Linked DNA regions of Rattus norvegicus. The protein of the gene in region 2 purifies or fractionates together with the protein of the main gene of each other region. This does not show direct contact. Links are inferred from orthologs where the notes say so. Each region holds a gene or a part of one and is shown on either strand. Other genes may lie near its edges. The genes, in order: Stk11, Pip4k2a, Ube2h and Ahcyl1.

What was found.
Region 1: the proteins of Pip4k2a (region 2) and Stk11 purify together in Homo sapiens (affinity purification with mass spectrometry; 3 studies listed by BioGRID and IntAct, counting the BioPlex papers as one, with this or other methods). This does not show direct contact. The link is inferred for Rattus norvegicus from reciprocal best matches to the Homo sapiens genes PIP4K2A and STK11.
Region 3: the proteins of Pip4k2a (region 2) and Ube2h purify together in Homo sapiens (affinity purification with mass spectrometry; 3 studies listed by BioGRID and IntAct, with this or other methods). This does not show direct contact. The link is inferred for Rattus norvegicus from reciprocal best matches to the Homo sapiens genes PIP4K2A and UBE2H.
Region 4: the proteins of Pip4k2a (region 2) and Ahcyl1 purify together in Homo sapiens (co-immunoprecipitation; 3 studies listed by BioGRID and IntAct, counting the BioPlex papers as one, with this or other methods). This does not show direct contact. The link is inferred for Rattus norvegicus from reciprocal best matches to the Homo sapiens genes PIP4K2A and AHCYL1.

The regions. Positions count from the first base shown.
Region 1 is NC_086025.1:10,224,957-10,228,521, reverse strand, and holds the end of Stk11 (serine/threonine-protein kinase STK11), read left to right. Parts: coding exon 1-160; intron 161-480; exon of another isoform or gene 481-1,942; coding exon 1,943-2,136; 3' UTR 2,137-2,149; exon of another isoform or gene 2,150-2,346; 3' UTR 2,347-3,318; downstream 3,319-3,565. Other genes in the region: Cbarp (voltage-dependent calcium channel beta subunit-associated regulatory protein), read right to left, coding at 3,416-3,565. UniProt on the Homo sapiens protein: Tumor suppressor serine/threonine-protein kinase that controls the activity of AMP-activated protein kinase (AMPK) family members, thereby playing a role in various processes such as cell metabolism, cell polarity, apoptosis and DNA damage response.
Region 2 is NC_086035.1:86,408,916-86,412,480, forward strand, and holds part of Pip4k2a (phosphatidylinositol 5-phosphate 4-kinase type-2 alpha), read right to left. Parts: intron 1,769-3,565; coding exon 1,525-1,768; intron 133-1,524; coding exon of another isoform or gene 110-132; coding exon 6-109; intron 1-5. UniProt on the Homo sapiens protein: Catalyzes the phosphorylation of phosphatidylinositol 5-phosphate (PtdIns5P) on the fourth hydroxyl of the myo-inositol ring, to form phosphatidylinositol 4,5-bisphosphate (PtdIns(4,5)P2). Has both ATP- and GTP-dependent kinase activities.
Region 3 is NC_086022.1:59,803,531-59,807,095, reverse strand, and holds part of Ube2h (ubiquitin-conjugating enzyme E2 H), read left to right. Parts: intron 1-1,198; coding exon 1,199-1,323; 3' UTR 1,324-3,565. UniProt on the Homo sapiens protein: Accepts ubiquitin from the E1 complex and catalyzes its covalent attachment to other proteins. E2 ubiquitin conjugating enzyme that transfers ubiquitin to MAEA, a core component of the CTLH E3 ubiquitin-protein ligase complex.
Region 4 is NC_086020.1:197,988,556-197,992,120, forward strand, and holds part of Ahcyl1 (S-adenosylhomocysteine hydrolase-like protein 1), read right to left. Parts: intron 3,354-3,565; coding exon 3,259-3,353; intron 2,462-3,258; coding exon 2,355-2,461; intron 1,528-2,354; coding exon 1,411-1,527; intron 1,166-1,410; coding exon 1,102-1,165; intron 395-1,101; coding exon 306-394; intron 1-305. UniProt on the Homo sapiens protein: Multifaceted cellular regulator which coordinates several essential cellular functions including regulation of epithelial HCO3(-) and fluid secretion, mRNA processing and DNA replication.

The DNA.
Region 1 (3,565 bases), on a different chromosome or scaffold from region 2:
GTGCCTATCCCCCCAAGTCCAGACACTAAGGACCGCTGGCGCAGCATGACCGTAGTGCCCTACCTGGAGGACCTGCATGGCCGTGCAGAGGAGGAGGAGGACGAGGACTTGTTTGACATTGAGGACGGCATCATCTATACCCAGGACTTCACAGTGCCTGGTGAGTTGACTGGGCGCAGCTCACGCTGGAGCTTGTGCCTTTGTGCACTCTGGGGCTGGTCCTCTTCCCAAGGCTCCAGCTGATACGAGCCCCCAGGACTGCCAAAGCCATCCTGGTGGCTGTGGAGGCATTCACTCTGGGCTGGCTGGAGGGCTCCCTGGGCCCATCTGCAGCTTCTTATGGCCTCCGTATGGCTGTGTCTAGCAGGAGGAGGGGACCCTGGAGGGCAGCGGGTAGGTGCCCTGAGACAGCCGCCTGAGGGAGGGTCCAGTGGCCCTCAGTCCTGGCCATGCCTGACCTTCTATCGCCTTCTTCCCCAGGTGTCGAGGAGACGGCCGAGTCAGGGCTTAGCGAGGACGCATGCGACACATGCATGTGGAAGAGCCAGGGCGCAGGCCTTCCCGGAGAGGAGCCCGAGGAGGGCTTCGGGGCCGTAGTGTAGCTCCCTGTCTGCTGCCCCACTTGTCTTCCATAAAGCTTTGTCCACTGTGTCTGCAGGGGGATGCTTACCGCGACTGCCCTCCCTCCCTCCCTCCCTCCCTCCCTCCCTCTTCCTTCCCTCCCTCCCCGTCACTGCTCCTCATGACAGGCTTCCTACCAGGGTTTCAAAGGACATGCCTGGGCCCAGGGCCTGGGGCAGGGTTTCAGCGTCAGGGTGGCCACCAGCCAGGGCTGTGGAGCCTTTGTTCCTGTGCCCCTCAGGCCAGCCCCACTCAGCTCCTGGCCTTTCAAACAGCCATGTGGGGAGGGTAAGGACCTTGGGCTACTGTGTCTCCTGTAGCAGATCAGTGTTCTGAAAGCAGTGCCCCCGCTGGGTGCCAGGTCGGCCCACAAGGACAGGTGTGCGCCTGAGGTTCAGTGTGGGCCTTGGCTGCAGCCCTTCCATCCCCATGTGGGAATAGTGTCTTCTCTCTGTCACCTGGAGCCCTTGCCTACACTGTCCCACCGGCTCAGCTCTGAGCTGATAGCTGGTGCGGGGCAAGGCCCTCTTTCTTGCTGTGGGCCCCTCTGCTGGGGAGCAGGCGCACGGAGATGCTGGCTGCATGAGGGACCCTCAAGGCTGCTGGGAAGGAAGGGACAACTGGGGGAGTGCTTGCTGTACAGGGAAGTGATGGCACTCAGAGGGGAGCCTGGTTCCTCTGCCTGCAGCAACAGCACAGGGCCTTTCTACTCAGTGTCTTGTGTGGATGGAGGAGGGGCAGAGTCCACCTGACCCCACGCCTAGTCCTGTCCAGCATGAGAGCCTGGGTGGGTGCTGCCAGTGTGGCTGAGTAGGAGGCTCTGGGAACAAGGGCAGTAGGGCTTGTGCTGGGTTCTCAGCCACATTGCAGAGCACTGGGCTATGTAGTTACCCGTACACTCTGCCCACTGAAGCCTGGGGAGCTCAGAAGAGGTCGCCTCTTGTTCCACCATGAGTGCAGCCCAGCAGAGCATGCTGGGCCTGCAGCCCCCAGCTGGATGGTCTCCTTCCCCATGCTCTGCACATCTAGTAGCCCCCAGGCTGAGGGCTTCATCTCCTTGTGCCTGTTCTGAGGGTCTAGAGCCTGGCTCCCTTGGAGAGCTCTGTGAGCTGGTGCTGGGCTACCCAGGCTAGACAGGCAGGTGAGCATGGGTGTGCTGCAGGAGGGCCAGGGCATACCACTGGGAAGGTATGGCCTGACTATCTTTGGAGCTACTGAGGGGTGGCAGAGACCAGCCTCTGGTGCAATTGGGGCTGGCTGGACCCTGGGACTTTGAGCTGCCTGGCCCTTGACTCAAGCTATGCTTGCCATCTTCCCGCAGGACAGGTCCTGGAAGAGGAAGTGGGTCAGAATGGACAGAGCCACAGCCTGCCCAAGGCTGTTTGTGTGAATGGCACAGAGCCCCAGCTCAGCAGCAAGGTGAAGCCAGAAGGCCGGCCTGGCGCTGCCAACCCTGCACGCAAGGTGTGCTCCAGCAACAAGATCCGCCGGCTCTCGGCCTGCAAGCAGCAGTGACTGAGGCCTACAGGTGGGCAAGGGCCAGGATCCAGAGTCATGTTTGGTGTTCACAGTGGGCGTCTGCTATGCGCCTAGCTCCTTCCCAAGGGCAGGGCTGCAGGGGGTGAGGCCACAGCCCTTACCGACTATGTGCACAAAGGACCTTTCTGCTCTGGAGTGGCCAGTACCTGGGGCCTGGTGCTAAGTGGCCACCCATTCTACCAACAGTGTGTCGCCAGGATCTTTGGGCAGGTGTCCCGGCAATACTGATTCCGGGCCTGTCTGTCCACATACTTCTGGACATTGGAGCCGAGGGCAGACCTGCCACCCCAGAAGCACTTTATGTCGAGACCACTGGTCGGCCTCGCCTGCATGCCGCCCTGCGAGCCTCGCTGTCTTTGGGTTGGTTTTTTTTTTCCTTTTTTTTTTTTTTTTTTTTTTTTTTTTAAATAAAACAGGAGGATTTGAGCTGTGGCTATGAGGATGTTTGGAAATAGGGAGCAGGCGGGGCACAGGGTGGCCTGCAGAGAAAACCCAGAGCGAACAAATATGCAGAGACATTTATGATCAACCAGACAACACGACCAACCACAGGGCGCAGGGCAGGGAGTGGGCAGGCACTCATGGCGAGGCTGCCCAATCTTTTGGCAATAAATAAAGCTTGGGAAACTTGAAGCTGCCACCGGGCTGTTCTGTCTCTGTGTTTAAAGCCCAAAGCTCGTGGGGAGGGATGGGACAGGCTGGAGCCTGTGCACATGCAGAGAGCGAGCAGGCGCAGTCGGTTATTGCTCAGAGAGGAAAGGTACAGTTGCTACAAAGTGCATACCATGGACAGGGGAAAGGATTAAGGATCTGGGGCGCGTGTTCCTCTCTGATCCTCAGTGCCCCGCAGTCACTTCCCCTCCAGTAGGTTCACGCATGCAGTGGCACTGCCAGCACGTGCTCACGAGTGTGGAGGTTCGGCTGATCCTGGAGGGAGGCTGCACGCGCACCTCAGAACCTGCTCCACCCGCATCTGTGGCCAGAGGCTGGGTGCCGGGGGTCAACCGTATATGGACTTGAGAATCCAAGATCTTCATCCTCCCTGCAGCTGAGCCTGGGTCCGGAGGCCTTGTGCATCCGGAGGCCCACTGCACCCTGCTAAGTGCCCGAGGGGACACTCCTTGTACACACTTGGGATTTGGGCCGCGTACCCATGCACAGCAACCTCAGGTTGCTCCCGCTGTCGCCACCATTCCCACAGCGGCCCCACGTGCCGCCGGCAAAGCAGCCGAGAGGCAGGTCCAGTACACAGAGCTTAGGCTGGGCTGTGGTCAGGGGATGTAGGGGCGGCAGCAGCGACAATCAGCACCGGGGATGAGGCAACTGGCTCAGCAAGACGGGGAGAGAAGAGTCTCTCGTCGAGGCTAGCTGCTAGTTTGTCCAGCAGTGCCCCGGCGGGCTCAAC
Region 2 (3,565 bases):
CTTACGCCGTGTTTTACAGTTTTCGCAGCGTGGGCAGCTTTCTTTTTTGCATCGTAATGAGTGAGAATGTCAATAATCGCCATGAAGTACACTTCTTTCCTAGGTGCGTCTGGAACGGGAGGAAAGCAGAGGCTGTGGGACAGGGGACAACACTCAGAGGACAAGCCAAGCGGTTAGGAGGGGGTGGGATGCAGAAACCGCATTCCGGTTGGCCCCCTGTACCGAAACAAAAGCAGCAAGAAGCCGGGACAGTAACTTTGTTTCCTAGTCTGCATTTCGTTCACCATAGTAAACTGTTTTTATGTAAAGAAAAATGCTCTCTTTAGAATTTTTTGTAAAGCAAGTAGAATTAATTATGCTTATTAACTAATCCCTTTCTACCCGGGCACTGCATTTTCTCCCCGGATAGAATATCAGAACTGAATAAAGGGTTTTAGGTCTCCATTATCTACTTTCTACATAGTTTCAAAAAATACTTTGTTTCAATTACAAATAGTTAAGAAATGTACACTCAATTATAACTGGTTTTCTTATGTTTAAGGAAGGATTTTGGTGGCTAAAATTAAAAATATAAAAAATACAACCCAAAACCTGTTGGCTGACATGATGGGGCAGAAATGACCTGTTTGATTATTTAAGTGAGAAGGGAAGGGTTTTTTTTGTTTGTTTTACCATATTAGTAAAATATTTTTGCCATGGACATGTAGCTACAGTCATGACTTTTAAGCTAAACCAACCAAACACCAGGATCCTGAGAACTGACGTGAGGGAGGCCCTGTGAGGAGGGCCACAGATCTCATCATGGAGACAGCAGAAGAGGCAGTGATTCTCACTGTGTGCACTGGGGCCTGGCCTCTGCACCCCTGAAAAGGCAGCCTGAGTGGTAATGTCAGCTCCACGAGAAGGCCACCCGATCAAGGGGCACAGTGGACTGCACACACTTGCCTCACCCGGAACAGATCTGTGAGACACTGTCAGGCCTCTGTCCTGGGGCTCAACCCCCAGTCCCCCCTCATGTCAGACAAGTGTTCCACCAGTGGGCTACAGCATAAGGCATCTTTCATTTTGAGGCAGGCTCTTGTTAAATTGCTCAGGCAGACTTGGTATCACTGAACCTGGCATGAAAAAACGAGTTCAATGTTAACACGCTTAGGGCGTGTAACCTTTTGACACTGAGGTATAACACCGTGATCTATAAACGTGTTGGGATGCTCCCTTCAATGCTCTCCTGGGGTCTAAGCTGGACACACCTGTGGGAATACACTGGGCTTATCTGTCATAATACATTATCTACAAATGCATATGCGCAATATATTAAAGACGCTTTCTAGTTTCCTTCCGCCCTCCAACACCTGAAATGACTATTTCCTTTAAACGCACATCGCCGTCTGATTATCAGTGCATTAGACTCAGTGGGAGCCCTGCAAACAGCGCCCTCGGAACCAGGGCCGGCCTTACTGATAGATCCCAGTGCGAAAATCAAACCACTCTACGTGCAGAACGAGTCAATGACACTAAGCTTACTTTCATGGCATTTAATTGCATAAACATCAATGTTTGGGTCGAACTCGCCAGGAGCCAAGGGTGGTGAGCTGTTGAGTGTGTTTCCAGGACTGTCAGGTGGCGTCCCGATGGGGTGGGCACCGTCACTCTCTCCTTCTTCTTCCCCCTCGTTCTCCTCACACTCAACCTCCTCTTGCTCTGCTCGCTCCACATCATGAATCCCCACCAGGAGGCTGTAGTCCATGAGTTTTAGTTGTGCAAGGAACTGGAGGGGGAGGAGACAGGTTGGTTAACACCTTAACAACGCTAAGAATTAAAGAATTTAGGATCAGAAGGACGAAACACTGGGGAAGGGTCCAAGGGCTAAGGGGACCCCCTGTGCCTCCTTTATGTGGTTCCCATTCTTAGACAGTTTCCTCACTTCTGGCTGGCTCACTGCTAGGATTATACCACCCCACTGACAATGCGAAGCTGTTTCCTGAGACTGGCATTTATTATGTAACCGCTGAGGTAATTTTAAGGGTGTAAGGTGCTGTCAGAAGAGCCTTGGGAGTTTGTGTGTGTGCTTTTCTCCAACAAAGAAAACAACTGGGTAATGGGAAAAACCAGGGAGTCACCAGGTAGCTTCCAGCGAAGCTCAAGAAAGCCTCCTGGAAAGCACTGGAAACCCAGCATACCCCTAGCACATAATTATCACGCTGTTGGTCACCGATAAGCAAAAGCTCTTCTATCCCTGTCAACCGGTGAGTGAATGGTGTCAGTACGGTGGTAAGTAACACATTCCCTCTGTACCCGTTCAACTTCTGGCTAACAACAATGATGCTAAGGTACTCCGTTTCCCATGAGGCCCAGGGGCACTGCCCCCTTTCCCCTTCCAGTCATGGCTACAAGTCAAGGCCAGCTGTGGGTTTGTCCCCTCCCATCTGTCAAGTTCTTGCTTTCTTCTCTCGTTCATTTTAATTAATTGGATCTACACAGACACAGGGCATGCAATGCTCTTATTGACCCACTGAAGTGTGGATAGCTTAACAGAGAGCAGACCGAGCAGCCCATTGACTGGCTGACTGGCTGGCTGGCTGGCCCTGCAGAATCCCGGTCTGCAAAAGGTGAATGGCCGCAACTCCTTGAGAACTTGCCACCACCCTGGCACTATGACGGAGAACATCTGGTAGCCTAGAAGAAGGGCACTTCCACACACAACAGGCATGCCCGTGGCACGGTAGGATGGGTGTTAAGTCTAGAGGACAAGCATGTGGGAGAGGCCCCTGACTCGTCTCCCACTAACTTTATTGCAAAGCATTTTGGTGTCGGGGTGGAATTAGCTGTGCTCATTCCAAACATTTCAAGGAAGACCAGAACTCTGTGGGGGAAAAGAGAGTCCCACAGTGTGAGCCCAAGGAGAAAGAGAAGACAGGCTGGGGACCAGGCTCAGGGGTGGGGGCTGGTGCCAGCGACTGTGGGAAAGGAGAGACATTATCTGCCGGCCCCACACTCTTTAAACTTGTTTATTTACTTTTCTACTTGTGGTGGGTTCTCACTACATAGCCTTGGTTGGGCTAGAGCTCAGCAATGCAGACCAGGTGGGTCTCAAAATCGGAGCTCATACCTGTCTCTACCTCTTGAGTGTAGGGATTAGAGGTGCGTACAACCATAACTGACTTAACTCATGCATTTATCTTAAAAATATGCAATATTTCCAAGTGTGTAGACTCAGAACTTCTCAGACCTCCTGCTTGCTTTTACAAGCCTTACACTGCCAGGACTCTGGTTTTTTCCCTTTCTCCTCTCACAAGATCCAGTCTATCTGATTCCTTAGAATAAGGAATTATCCCTGATTCCTGTAGTTTAATTTTCTTTCTTTTGGTGCCAGGTACCCATAGCCTTGTACATGTCAAAGCATGTCCATCATAAAGCCACATCCTTAGCCTGTGTTAACTCCTGGAGCCAGGACCTTCCTGTGATCTTTATGAGTACTGGAACCAACTCTTCTATGGGTGGTGGCCACACAGTGAAGGAGCAGGTTATAAACTGGTTAGCAGGTTGAAATGAGCCTCCTTACCTC
Region 3 (3,565 bases), on a different chromosome or scaffold from region 2:
GTACAAACTTTAGAAAGAAAGTGTGTCTGGTTGTGGGCACTTGACATACACTGGAGGAGGCTCATGGCACGATGAGCACACTGTTACTGTCTTCAGACACCAGAAGAGGGCATCAGATCCCATTACAGATAGTTGTGAGCCACCATGTGGTTGCCGGGAATTGAACTCAGGACCTCTGGAAGAGCAGTCAGTGCTCCCAACCGCTGAGCCATCTCTCCAGCCTCCCTCATAGCAAGTTTTTTTGTTTTTGTTTTTTTTTTAAGATTTATTCATTTATCATATATAAAAGTACACTGTAGCTGTCTTCAGACACACCAGAAGAGGGCATCGGATCTCTTTACAGATGGTTGTGAGCCACCATGTGGTTGCTGGGAATTGAACTCAGGACCTCTGGAAGAGTAGTCGGGTGCTCTTAACCGCTGAGCCATCTCTCCAGCCCTATGGCAAGTTTTAAGTTAGTCTGGTACACAGCAAGTTCCAGGCCAGCCAAGAAGACACAACCATCTCACAAAACAAAACTGAAGGGAATAGGGAAACATTCCTACCTGGATCCCCTGCTGTCTTTTCAGCATCAACGGGCCTGTGTGATCTTTTGCCTGCCTTTTTACAGCAGCTTTAACAGCACCATTGGCATGAAGACATGAGAGGCCCTGTGTCCAGTTGTGCTGATTGGAGTCCCACCATTGCCCTTCCACAGTGTGTGGGCAGTTTACTTACACAGCGTCCTTTTAGGAACAAATGTATTGTTTATTCAGCATTTCTTACATTTGTTTTCAGCCGGCCCTTTGGCCTAGGCTCTTAAGCATAATCTTGAGGAGAATAGTGAGTACATGGAAGAACCCTCAAGACCCTGCACCTCCACACAGCAGCCTGTCCCTGATGAGCAGAGCCAGACCATGATTACTGTCTGCTTCCAAAACCCAGCGGTCAGGATCGAGTGTGATTGCATAGGTGCAGATCAGGGGTGGGGAGTCACCGAGGAGTCATCACTAGACCACTCCTGTCTAGGAGATAAACCACTTTATTAACGGGGAAAGTAAAAAGTGTGGACTGCCCACTTCAGCCCAAACAAGTCACTTCCTCTTTGGAACCCCTTGGCTTTTCGTTACCATAACACCGGGGTAGCAGGTGAGTTTGTACCGAGGGGTCACTGAACTCACACCCTGTGTTTCCTTCCCCCCACCCTCCCCCTGTGCAGAGTACATCCAGAAGTATGCAACGGAGGAGGCCCTGAAGGAGCAGGAGGAGGGCACTGGCGACAGCTCATCGGAGAGTTCTATGTCCGACTTCTCAGAAGATGAGGCCCAGGACATGGAGTTGTAGTAGAAAAGGCATCTGCTTTTCAGAAAGACTATTATATCCTAACCATGAGAAGCAGACTCTAATATTCATATTTAAACAAAGCAATTTTTTTTATTACTAAACAAGGTTTTTATGAATAATAGCATTGATATATATATATTATATATCACCCTTTAGATCTTGATTTCTTGGTCATTTCTCAACCTGAGGTGCGTAGCATATTCCCACATTCCATTTTGGTAGCAGTATGCGGTCTGAATGCATGCATGCGTAAGTCCATTTGGCCAAGTCAGCCTGTGCGCTACTGAACTACTGTCAAGAGATTGCCGCTCTGAGGTAAACATGAGTTAATGACAAGTTTGCTTCTTTTATTGATGGTTCCAAAGAAACAAACCAAATTCTACCAGCTCTTGGATGAAGATAGAACCGTGCTTTTCCAGAGTGGAAAGGAAAGGGTTGAGACGCGTGCTTTGAGAGCCTGTGAAGCTGCGCTGTCTGTGTCAGCCACTCCATAGTCCTAAGTGGCCCTTTGTGAGGAGCAGCGTGAGACAGAGTTGATGAGAAGCGAGACTTAGGGCTTTGGGGTTTTTTTGGCTCAGATTTAAGTGTGTTTTTCTAGGTAGATTCCCGCCCTCCCTGCTGCCAGACCTGCAGCCACATTGGTTTTTTGCCTTGGAGAACATTTGGGAAGCATTTTCTGAACCCATTTCCTTTTGGGGGTGTCCAGTTTGTCATCCAGCAGAGCATTTTGAGAGAACAGGACTGAAGGAGAAAGGTGACTGGAAGACGCCGAGTGACATCTGATCCAGCGCCGGCCGGCCGGGCCTGTCGGAGACCATTGCCCTGGACTGAGCTGTGACACTGGAAGCAGTTCTGTTTGGTGTTTTGTTTTTCTTTTTTTTTTTAGCTTTGTGTGAATTGTACTTAGACAAGTTACAGGTTTAATTTTCACTACCAAGAGAGTCTCCTCCCTGGACAAGGTGCTCAGTGGACCATCAAATGGAGGAAGACTGGCCTTGTTGCTTGAGCCCTGCACAACCCTTGGAACTCCAGCTTAGTTTTCCTCCCAGAAGCTGCCAACTGCTGTGGGAGTGTGGGTAGTGTGGGTATCCGAGACCCAAAACATCCTAAATTTGAAATGGGTAACAGTTGAAACAAACTGAAGTTTTTGTACCAAAGTGGCTCGAAGTGGGAAGAACCACTTTAGTAAATTGTCATGGAGGCAGGTTGAGGGGACACCACTTTCTCCCTCTGCAGTAACAGACAGACAGACAGACAGACAGCTGGAAGTGCCTGGCTGGCTGCTACCGGCCAACTGCCATCCAGTGTGCCCGGCAGTTTGAGACCTGACTCTGGAGGGAATTTGGAGACCGTTTAGAGAGCAGCTCTGCTCTGTATTTTTGCCGAAACCAGAGCAGTAGACGTAGCCAATGTAAGACCTTCTGAAGACATTTTGAATGTCCCACTGGACTAACCTTTCTCTTGATGTGTGTTTTTAGTTTAGAAGTGCTATATTCCACAAGGGTTAAGTCAATGAGGTTGGAGAACACCTATCTTTTTTCTTTTTTAATTCAAAAAGCACAATCAGTCTTTCCTTTGAAAATCTATAAAAGTACAACTTTTAGCATGATTATTTTCCTAAATAAAAAGACAAATAATTTACTTATTTTACGTTAATTACGGGCATGAAGCAAAAGGTTTCTTTGGGGAAAATGCAGTTCTCTAGTGCTGGGGTTGGTTCACTGCACTGTCCCTGGCACCCTGGCTTGTTGAAAGGTGGCTTTAGCTGTGTGCCATGTGACCGTTTGCCTGCCACGCTCTGTTGTGGTTAGGGGAGTTTCTGCTCACACTTGCAGCTTGCTGCCCTGCAGATTAGCCCTTTGCTCATGCTACAGCCTTCCTGTGGGTGCTACCTTGGGCAGGCTTGAACTGCTGGGTGATGGTCGTGAGTTCAAACAATTAAAAATGTGGGTTTTTTTTCAATACTATATAAAAGTAGTGCTCTGATTACCTCCTCCTCAAAAAAAAAATCCAGATAATTGCTTTTGATATTGTTGGGGAAAAAATAAAACAGAGCCAACTTTGGGAAACAGGTGTGAGCAGCTACAGCTCTTGACCCTTACCGGGGGCCACTTCGCTCCAATGAAGAGACATCATTCCTTCCCGTGCAGGGCTGACAGTGCAGAGTGTCCATCCAGACACATGATGAAGGTGTCACTGGTTCTGCACTGCAGTTCCCATGCCTGCCCCCAAGTCACTCCAC
Region 4 (3,565 bases), on a different chromosome or scaffold from region 2:
GTTCTGAAATGGCCACAAAATTAGACAACAAAATCCCCTTCTGAAGTAAAAGCCAATGTTCCATCCCAGCAATGGCAAATGATGAGCTACAGGGAGCTACAGACTGGCTGCTGTGGAGCCCCAGAGTCTACACAGGAGAAAATGCCAAGAGGCCCCATAAAAGGCTTAGAGTGAAGGGAACAAAGCATCTTACTCTCTTTCCCTGGGAGATTTCTACGAAAACAGTGAAGTAAATGAATCACCAGCTTGCAGAAATACAAAACACGAACAGCAAACCTGACAGTGTTACAGCACCCCACCCTTACCAGGCCTGCAGAGCACAGATGGGGTCAATTTCTGTGATGTAGACAATTGCTCCAAGGGCCTTGAGAGCAGCACAGCAGCCCTTTCCTACCTGCAGAATATAGGAAAGCCCAAGTTGCCAGGTCTAGTAAGACATGATCACCAGGGCAGACAAGCTTTTGAGGAGATAGGAATTAGTCTTCTTTAAATCAGTCATCATCCAGGGAACATTCCAACCCCAGCTGGAGCAGAAAGAAACCCAATCTAGGCTGTAAACCTCAATTAGAGATAATTTAGCAGACAAGTCACAGCAAGAGTTGGGGAAATATGAAAATAAGACCAAACAAGAACAACTGATTTACTCCATAAAAACCTGGTAAAACTTTCTTCCAATGTGTCTACTCAATACCCAGCAGCCCAAGAACTTCAGTGAACCACTGCTGAAGACGATGAAACTTCCTAGGACCTAGTCCACTTTAGAGACATTCAACTATAATGCCACTTCGGTTTCTCCATTATAATGCAAGTCATAAGATGGGGATAAAAATGCTACTTATCCGCTTGAATTTTATTTCATAAAAGGTTATAAGTGGGAGACAGTAATGTTGACATTAATCAATAAGATAAAGTGCTAAAATATGGAAGTTCAATACACTCTGCCTTTAATTCATGAATATGAAAAGAAGGACTTCTGCCACTATTTTCAAGCACAGTATGGAAAACCATGTGTCAGTGTTTGTAGATTGTCTCCTTCCTCCAGTGTTTCTCTAAAGCCCTTCTAATAAGAATAGACAGAGACACGGGGGCCCAACTATTTACCTCACCATAGCCACACACCACCACCTGTTTCCCACCAAACATCACATCTGTGGTCCTCTTCAGGCTGTGGAAACAGACAAGGACTCATCTCAAACATCATTTACAACTTGGTCCCTTTGTACCAAACTCAAGTGTAGGGCAACGCCCAGGAGAAATTCATTTGAAAGCTGGCTGAGATCAGTGTGAAGTGGGCCCCTTTAGTTACATGTAAAGGTGGGAGACTACAGGGGCAAGCTACAGGTATCAGACTAACATGTCAAACAAATACCACCAATCCCTGCAAGTCTGAATGTATACATTTCAACATACCCATCCAAAATGGATTCTCGGCAGCAGTACAAGTTATCAAACTTCTGTTTGGTAACAGAATCATTGACATTCATGGCTGGAACACAGAGCTTCCCAGCTTTGGAGAGCTGATACAGCCTAAAAGGGAGAAGAAGCCACAAAACAAACACACAACCAGTTAGTGACAAACAGTAAACAGCAGTCTGCTTCTGTCTCTTCAAGTCATGCTGCCCTCCTTATTCTTATTTATGCCCAGAAATTCTTCGGAAACATGACTATTTTCTTGTCATCTCTCCTCAACTCATTTCCTTCTACCTTTATCCTTTACTTTTGGGGAAGAAAAGTAAAAAATTTTCAGTTGAAGTAATTTACTGCTCTTCCACAAATGGAACATTATAACCTTAGGCCAGCATTGTTCTAACTTTCAGTACTCCTGTTTACTTCAGGTCAACAAAGATGACAAGTGTTTTGATGTGATTCACTGTGTCTGTGAGAGCAATCACGTACACTGTGCCCCGGTAGAGCAGTGCTCCTAGATACCATTTAGTTATTTCCACCAAGCCAAGAGTATATCTCCAGTTTTACTTTTTGTTGCATCACATATAGCTTTTTTTTTTTAAAAAATACTTTTCCTTCCATATTTAAAATATAAAAATTATAATACAACATTGAGCACAAGTTTTACAAGACACACTCCTCCCTACGCCCCTACTCCCAAATAATTGTTAATTACTCAGTGGAGTAAATGGGAGAGATAAAAGCATGTGAATTAGAATTTGAAAAACTTCCTTCAAAATTCCTTCTATGGTCATTTTGATTTTGCAAAAGTAAAAACTCAGTTTTATCTAATGAAGACACTCCCACTTAGTTATTTAAAGTCTGAAACACAGCCCTAAAGTCTAGGAGAGACCAGAAGAATTTGATGAGGCAAGGACACAAGGGGCAGCTACTCCAGAATCTGTTACCTGTGAACACCAGTCACGCTCTCTTCCACAATGCCTCGGATCTTCTTAAACACGTTTGGATACTTCTTATAAACCCAGTGGGTTAAGTCTCCCCCATCATCCAGGATCTACAGAACAGCCAGAAGACTTCTATGGGCATTCAGGCTGCTAGAGCTAGGGGGAACTTTGAGCCCATTTTCTACACTAGTGAGAGAGCCCTGGATATTTTGGAAGAGCACGTCTTAACGCTCAGCAGAATAGGCTTAGACAGTGGAAATATAGTTAAATCTGTTGGTGTAAAGTGATTAAGAGAATTCCTCAATGAGTTCTAGGCTACAACGGAAAGTTCTCTTTTGAGACTGGATCTTGCTTGTTGCTCAGGCTACTCTAAAATTCCTGAGCTCGAGGATTCCTGCTTCAGCCTCTCAAATGCTGGGAATACAGGCAAGCGCCATGCTCAGCTACAGTAAATAAGTGTTACAAATCATGGGCTCATTTTCAGTCTAGCTGACATATACAGCTCCTCTGAATGCAAAAGGAGAAGTGGAGCAGGAAGGAAAGAAATAAGACTCCTACTCCAAAGAGGGACCAACCACATCATTTCCTTCTGTTTATTCTGCTGTGTTTGAGCCCTGTGTCCACCTCAGCTTACCCTTCCCCCACCTTTCTATTCACTTCGCAGAGCTTTTTTCCATTTCTTTCTTTCCTTCCTTCCTTTCCTTTCTTTCTTTTTGGTGCTGGAGATTGAACCCAGGGACTTGTGCATCTTAGATCCATACCGAGTAGGTATTGTGTTATGAACACTTTAGCAATATAGTCAGTAAATAAGACCAAACACACAAAAATATATTTAGGGAACCATGCTTTAAAGGAGAAAAGGAAATAAATCCATAGTAAAAAATATGGGGTGGACATGAATGATTACCATGTTAGCCTGCCACCCATCCATGTTGACACAGCGGTCAATGCACCACCAGAAATCATCTTCTGACTCGCCCTTCCAAGCAAACACTGCAACTCCTATGGAGACAGAAATAAATTAGTTAATGCTGCTTCTGATGTGCACATCAATACCAGCTCTGAGATCCACATGAAGAATGAAAGGGAAAAGAAAAATTCAGAGAGGGAAAACTTAAAAAGTCAAAATGGTACTTTTTAGTTCAGAAATTACTGTACTTAAGAAATTAAGAGATTTCTGTTTTAAAAATATTTTGGAGTCATAAAATATTATT